2 linked regions of the Elephas maximus indicus genome follow. The protein of the gene in region 1 interacts with the protein of each later gene in a pairwise test. Links are inferred from orthologs where the notes say so. Each region holds a gene or a part of one and is shown in the gene's direction. Other genes may lie near its edges.

Region 1 (3,752 bases):
AAATCAGGTAACTGGGTTCTGCCAATCTACTAATACCTTGTTTTACACATAAGCTTCCAATACAGGGCTTTGATTCTTTTGAAGTGGCAGTAACATTCAGATGACTTGATTTTAATAGCTTTATTGTTATTTTAAAATATACATGCTTACTGATTTAAAAAAAAGTCAAACAATATGGAAAAACAGGAAGAAGAAAGTGAATACCATCTGAAGTCACACTACACACTCCTACAGTGTTAGGGAGCATTCTTTTGGACATCTCTCTCTGTCATATATATATATACTTTTTAAAACCTGAATTAATACTGTAGCTGCTGTTTCTGGAACAGTATTGTTGGAGACAGAGTGGACATCTTTCATGGCAGATGACTTGATCCTTGGTGGCAAAGCACAGTGATTAAGGGTATAGGGAGTCACCATGCCTAGGTTTGAATTTTTCTTCCCTTACTCAGTAAGTGACATTGGGCATGTGATTTAACCAATTTCCATGTGCCTCAGTTTCCTCATATGAAAAAATGGGGATGATAATATTGCCTAGCTCAAAGAGTTGGTGTGAGGGTTAAATGAGATCATACACTTAAATATTTAAAATAGCACCTGAAACATACCCATTGCCGTTGAGTTGATTCCGACTCACAGCAACCCTATAGGAGGGTAGAACTGCCCCACAGGGTTTCCAAGGAGGACCTGGTGGATTCAAATTCCCGATCTCTTGGTTAGCAGCCATAGCACTTAACCACTACACTACCAGGGTTTCCGCCTGAAACAAAGTACTTAATACATTTTACCTTTTATTCTTAAGGAAATACAAATTTCACCTTCACAGTAACACTGAAGGGTTTTTTAATATGAAAATTCGGGTGCTTTCTTAAATAACTTTCATCATGGTATTTCAAAAACTGTGCTTTTAACAAGTTATCACTGTTTCTACATATAACTATATACTTTCTCCACTGATGATGGTATTTGCATGCAGCAAATACTCAGTTTATACTTGTTGACTGATCTTCCTTAGACTTCGTTAGGCAGAGATTACCTTTTCGTGGAGGACTGTTTAAGAACTATCCTGTTGTATGCAGTGTGCCTTTAAGTGAGACAGTTTTACTGGGCCACCTTTATAAAGACATTAGTCCAACTAAAAATCCCTGTTAATTATTAAACTGTTATGTGTTATCTGGATACCTGACACTGCAGATTGAGAACAGTGTTTGTCTCTCAAGTTAAGACTAAAAAGAGAGAAAAAAATGTAGTTACCCAAGAATTAAAAAAAAAAAAAAAAACTCAATTTTTTTTCTCTTATATTTAGTGAAGAAAGTAGGGTATCTTCTGTTTTGCCTGGCATATCTACCACCTGAACAATCAGTTTAAAGCTCATTTTGAATTCCTGGTTGTTCATTTTAGCATGGCGAATCTCGGAGTTCACAGAATCCTTCTTTTGGTTATTTCTTTGACAAAGAGTCTGGAGAGTACAAAACTGTTGACAGACCTTAAAAACTGTGGCGACTTGGAATGTGAAAGTAAGTTTGCTTTTTTTCTTTTCCTCTTAAATTGAGGCTCTGAAATGACATCTAGTGTAATTGTGGATGTGTGTGATAAGAATGAGCATTAATATTGAAGAATATTTGCAATTATAAACTACAGCTTGGTATAAAAAGAAAATGCTGGAAGCAAGGCATTTTGTGATAGTATTAAATGTAAATATACAAATGGATAAAGAGTAGTCTGACATATAAATATATCAGCAAATTTATTGGTTTTAGTCTATGTATCAAAAACAAATTAGCCGTTTTACTGTTTTTTTTTTAAGATAAATATAATCAATTGGTATGAATAGGCTATTCATACCAATATAAATATAAAGTCCTTATATTTTTTAGTTTCTATTTCAGAATCAGAATTTTCCTGTTTTCAAAAAATGTTTTTATTTCAAACCATCATGATTTATTCATTCTAAAATTTATCATACAGCAATTGTTTCTGTATTTATTTATTTTGTAAAAATATTGAAATCAGTTGTTATTGTTCGTGCTGTCAAGTCTATTTCAACTCTTAGCAGCTGTATTGGACAGAGTAGAATTGCCGCGTAGGGTTTCCTAGGATGAAATCTTTTTTTTTTTTTTTTTGTACTTTAGATGAAGGTTTACAGAACTAGTTTCTCATAACAGTACACATATTGTTTTATGACATTGGTTAACAACCCCACAACAAGTCAACACTCTCCCTTCTCAACCTTGGGTTCCCTATTACCAGCTTTCCTGTCCCCTCCTGCCTTCTAATCCTTGCCCCTGGGCTAGAATGCCCCTTTAGTCTCGTTTCATTTTATGGGCCTGTCCACTCTTTGGCTGAAGGGTGAACCTCAGGAGTAACTTCGTTACTGAGCTGAAAGGGTGTCGGGGGGCCATACTCTCAGGGTTTCCTCAGGCTCTGTCAGGCTAGAAAGTCTGGCCTTTCTTTTTGAGTTAGAATTTTGTTCTACATTATTCTCCAGCTCTGTCCGGGACTCTCTATCATGATCCCTGTCAGAGCAGTCAGTGGTGGTAGCCGGGCACCATCTAGTTGTACTGGGCTGAGTCTGGTAAAGACTGTGGTATATGTGGTCCATTAGTCCTTTGGACTAATCTTTCCCTCGTATCTTTAGTTTTCATCATTATTCCTTGCTCCCAAAGGGGTGAGATCAGTGGAGTATCCTAGATGGCCACTTGCTAGGGTGAAATCTTTATGGAAGCAGATCTCTAGATCTTTTCTCCCACAGAGCTGGTGGTAGGTTTCAACTGCCAACCTTTCTGTTAGCAGCTGAGCACTTAGCTATTGTGCCACCAGGGACCTTGGAAATTGGTGTTAGGAATATATATTTTTATTTTATTTATTTACTTTTATTGTACTTTAGATAAAGGTTTACAGAGCAAATTAGTTTCTCATTAAACATTAATACACATATTGTTTTGTGACATTGGTTGTCAGCCCCATGACGTGTCGACAACTCCCCTTCTTGACCTTGGGTTCCCCATTACCAGATTTCCTGGACCCTCCTGCCTTCTCCTCCTTATGCCTGGGTTGATATGCCCATTTAGTCTCAATTTGTTTTATGGGCCTGTCTAATCTTTGGCTGAAGGGTGAACCTCAGGAGTGACTTCAGTACTGAGTTAAGAGAGTGTCTGGGAGCCATACTCTAGGGGTTTCTCCAGTCTGTTAGAACAGTAAGTCAAGTCTTTTTTTGTGAGCTAGAATTTTGTTCTGCATTTTTCTCTTCATCTCCCAGCTCTGTCTGGGACCCGCTGTTGTGATCCCTGTCAGAGCAGTTGGTGGTGGTAGCCGGGCACCATCTAGTTGTGCTGGACTCAGTCTGATGGAGGCTGTGGTAGTTGTGGTCCATTAGTCCTTTGAACTAATCTTTCCCTCGTGTCTTTGGTTGTCTTCATTCTTCCTTGATCCAGATAGGGTGGCACCAGTGGAGTATCTTAGATGGCTGCTCATAAGCTTTTAAGACCCCAGACACTACTCACCAAAGTAGGATGTAGAACATTTTCTTTATAAACTATGTTATGCCAGTTGAGTTAGATGTACCCTGAGACCAGGGCCCCCAGCCCTCAGTCCAGTAATTCGGTCTCTCAGGGAAGAATATGTATTTTTAGTAGCTTTATGACATAAAATAAATTACATCCTAGTATATTAGAGTTGCTTTAAATAAGTTATATCTCTCCAATATAAAAGAATTATTTCTAATGTGCAACATGTAATTTTAAAAATGTGAC
Region 2 (3,752 bases), on another chromosome or scaffold:
ACCTCCAACCTAAGACCAAAAAGGCTGTCTTGGCAGTCTTGGATCAACAGCAGTTAAACTTCAACCCTAGAACTGGGAAGAACAGACACCACCTCTTAGGTTCTTAGTAAATATTTTCCTTCTCTACCAGCTTCTTCTCTTTTTGAAAATGAGACAGACATACTAGCTTCAACTTGACTTGTCAAAGGGCTAGTCCATTTCAAAGTTCGTAACACCCTTAATAACAAGACTGCCAGAGAAGGTACGGTTCTTTGGGCATGTTGGTCACTTCTGCAAGTAATGGCACAATCCCTCTTCTTACACCTGTCCAATCTGAGTGAGTACGACTATGTATCTCAGGCCACTGAAGCGGGGTGATGATAAAAGAATATACGGCTGCGTAACTTAGGTCTATGTGGTGTTCACCAAAAATGTGCGTCCCCCCTCGAAAAAACTCTCTGAATGCTAACCATTAGCTGAACTAGTGATCCATTTTTAATGCTTACTTCCTGTCTTCTGCTCTCCTACCATGCATCCCTGAAATCTTAATGAAACAGGTAGCACAGTAAGTGACCCCACCACCATGGACAGTTAAAGCTGAGTCTTTCCTCTGGGATCCGAATAGCTGGAGCACTCGGGAAACTGTGGAGGTGCAGGGTGCACGTAAAGGAGAGCGCGGGGGGCGGGGGGGGGGACGGGGGCGAGGAGAGGGTGTCGCTGGACACAGCCCCGCGCACTTTGCAGGTTTACAGAGGTAGGGTCACGGAATCGGGCGCTTCTTGGACGGAACGTATCTCCACTACCTGCGCCTTCACCTAGGTGGGTCCCTTCGAGAAAAAGCAACAGTGGACGGATCACAGGGAGGGAAGCAAGTTTGTAGACCAGTTTCAAAACGCGTGCGTCACGCCCGCGGGGACCGGAAACCCGGTGGAGCTATGTGTGCTGCGATTGGCCGGAGCGGCTCGGAGTCCCCAGGGCCGGAAGTGCGCTGCGGTACCATGACTACGGGCGCGGGCGCTCCACTTCCGAACGCGAGCGCAGCGTACTGTTCCCATGGCAACGCCATTGTCTCCGGGGCCGAGCCCGGGAGGCCTAGGAGAAAAGCATCCCTGGCAGAGCGTCTCGCTACCGCAAAGCGACAGAACGAGCTCGTCCAAGTCCGGGAGCTTGACGCCGCCCTCGGAAGCCGAGCCCCGGCGAGGTACGCAGCGGAACCCTGGCCTGGCCGGCGAGGTCGCCCCGCTGATCGGGTTAGAACTTCTGTGGCTGAGCACCACCTACCAGAAAGAAGCTGGGAGGAGTTCGGACAACTAGCCGCTGGGAGGTTGTGGCGTCAGGATTCACGAAGTTGCTGCGGAACAGCAGAAAAGGAAGAAGGGATCTGTATTTGAGAGAGGGGTCAAAATTTGGTTCTGTAATTAAAGGTTGTGTGGAACCTCATGGGAACAGAGTTGAGGAGTTTAAGAGGTCAGACCCTTTCGACCTGGTCATGGTTCTGAAAGAGAAGTTAGTAAATTTTCCTCTCCGATTTTCAGATTGTGGATATTCCGGAGCCTGAGTCAGAGAGAGCGACTCAGGACTCAGGTGGAACAAAGGACGTTCTGCAGGGTGAAATGAGGAGCGGCTTGGTGGGCTTAATATTCAATAAATAACTGCATTCGACTTGGGTTTGATGTTTAAGCTACAGGGATAGCCATGAGAGTTGAATTTCGCAAGAGAGAAACCACATTTTTCTCCATGAGTTCCGACAATTTTCCCCATCAGCCCACAAGAGAACCAAAATAGACACGAGTTTTAGCTTCTTTACCAGGGTCTTTTATTGAATAGTGAAATGGCCCCAGGAAAAGGAAGGGAACTGACCTGTACATTGACCATACTTTGGTTGTACTTGAGAACTGGCGCTTTGCTTGGATCCAGCTTGCTCTCATACCTGCAAAAACATTATCTGACTGGCGTAGGAGATGGAAGTTTTGATGATCCAGGAGCTGTATGTAAATAAATATGCTGTAAATAGGTAAATGTGTTTGATTTTTAAGAGGAGAAAAAAGGCTGAAGATTTTGGAGAAGTAATGTGGAGTAGAAATTCGGAGAATGAAATTTAATTTAGCAACCCTGTTTAATTTCTGCTTTCCAAGGGTCTCCGTACATGAATGTGTGTAATCTATTTGTGGATTTAGGATGGGTTGTATATTTGGGCAGTTTCAGTTTAATGTTAACAGCATCTAATAGAGGAAAAACAGAAGAAGCTTCTAAGCGTTTTTGGCCACGCTGGCCTCACTTGTGCTTCTTGGTAGGAAGAAGATGCGAGCCAGCCCCATCCGCATTCCAACCGTCAACAATGACAGTGACTGGGACTCATGCTTCCATTTGTAAGTACTACAAAGCCTTGAGGTCACACTCACCAGTCTGAAACACTGGGGCTTTCCTCTCAAGGCAAACCTGGGTGAGAAGCTTAGTATGCACAGTTTGTAGAAGAGAAGGTTGAGCCTCTGTGATGTAGGCTTTTTCTTTTTTGTACTTTAAGCATTTTATTTTAACTTAGGACACGACTATATTTCTACACCAATTTACAATTTAAGGCCAAGACCATATCCTTGCGGATGAGTCACTGGTGGGAGTTCCCTATCATTATTTCTTATACTTTTTTTTGTTGTTGTTGTTAAAACTATGCATAGCACAACCTAAACCAATTCAACAATTTCTGCACATACAATTCAGTGACACTGATTACATTCTTCAAGCTGTGCAGCTGTTCTCACCTGCCTTTTCTGAATTGTTCCTCCCCCATTTCTGCAGTGTGTTTTTATAACAAGTCTGCTGTAAAACCCATTTGTACTTGTACAACCAATGCAGAATGGAAAATAATTTTTTTTCCTAACTTAAGGGAATGTTAAGTGTTTTAAAGTAAAGATTGAGTTAGTTGTAACAAGATCAGTGAAGTCAGAGAGCATTGTATATAACAGTTAATGAGTAAATTAGAATTCAGTTTCATGAAATAAAGAGATGATGAGTAAATAACAATTGTTCGTATCATATTAGCTAATGCTGTTGAGCACATATTATGCACTAGGCACTGTTCTAAATACTTTACACATATTAACTCATTTAATTCCCACAGCCATATGAGGAAGGTACTGTTACCCCATTTTATAGATGAGGAATCTGAATCAGAGAGAGCTGGGCAACTTACCTAAAGCCACACAGCTAATAAGTGGTATTCAGACTGAGCAGTCTGACTCCAAAGTCCATTAACTATTCCTCTATACCAGGGTTTCTCAGTCTTGGTGCTTTTGACATTTCGGGCTGGATAACTCTTTGTTTTGAGGCCTGTCCTGTGCATTATAGGATGTTTAGTAGCATCCCTATTCTCTACCCACCAGATAATAGTAGCATCTCCCCCAATTGAGACAACCAAAAAGTCACCAGACTTTGCAGAATAATCCACAGGGCAAAATCACTCCCACTTGAGAACCACTAAGCCGTACAAGTGCTGTACGAAAGAAATATAATGCACACCACAGATGCCAGCCACGTAGATAATAATTTAAAATCTAGTGGCCACATAGAAAAAATAAAGAGAAACAGGTGAATGTAATCGTAATACTATAATTCGTTTATCCCAATATATCTAAAATAGTATCATATAAACTATTGATGGATATTTTGTATCCTTTTTTCATACTAAGTCTTCAAAATCTAGTGTGTGTCTTATGCTTATGGTACAACTGAACTCACACTAGCTACATTTCATGTATTCAGTAGTCATCTGTGGG

What was found.
Region 2: the proteins of MIA2 (region 1) and TTC23L interact in binary tests that used the Homo sapiens proteins (3 or more experiments, as listed by UniProt). The two-hybrid records come from large-scale screens. The link is inferred for Elephas maximus indicus from reciprocal best matches to the Homo sapiens genes MIA2 and TTC23L.

What each region holds. Positions count from the first base shown.
Region 1 is NC_064828.1:51,521,981-51,525,732, forward strand, and holds the start of MIA2 (melanoma inhibitory activity protein 2), read left to right. Parts: upstream 1-1,364; 5' UTR 1,365-1,402; coding exon 1,403-1,517; intron 1,518-3,752. UniProt on the Homo sapiens protein: Plays a role in the transport of cargos that are too large to fit into COPII-coated vesicles and require specific mechanisms to be incorporated into membrane-bound carriers and exported from the endoplasmic reticulum.
Region 2 is NC_064820.1:39,871,887-39,875,638, forward strand, and holds the start of TTC23L (tetratricopeptide repeat protein 23-like), read left to right. Parts: upstream 1-1,086; 5' UTR 1,087-1,940; coding exon 1,941-1,993; intron 1,994-2,273; coding exon 2,274-2,348; intron 2,349-3,752.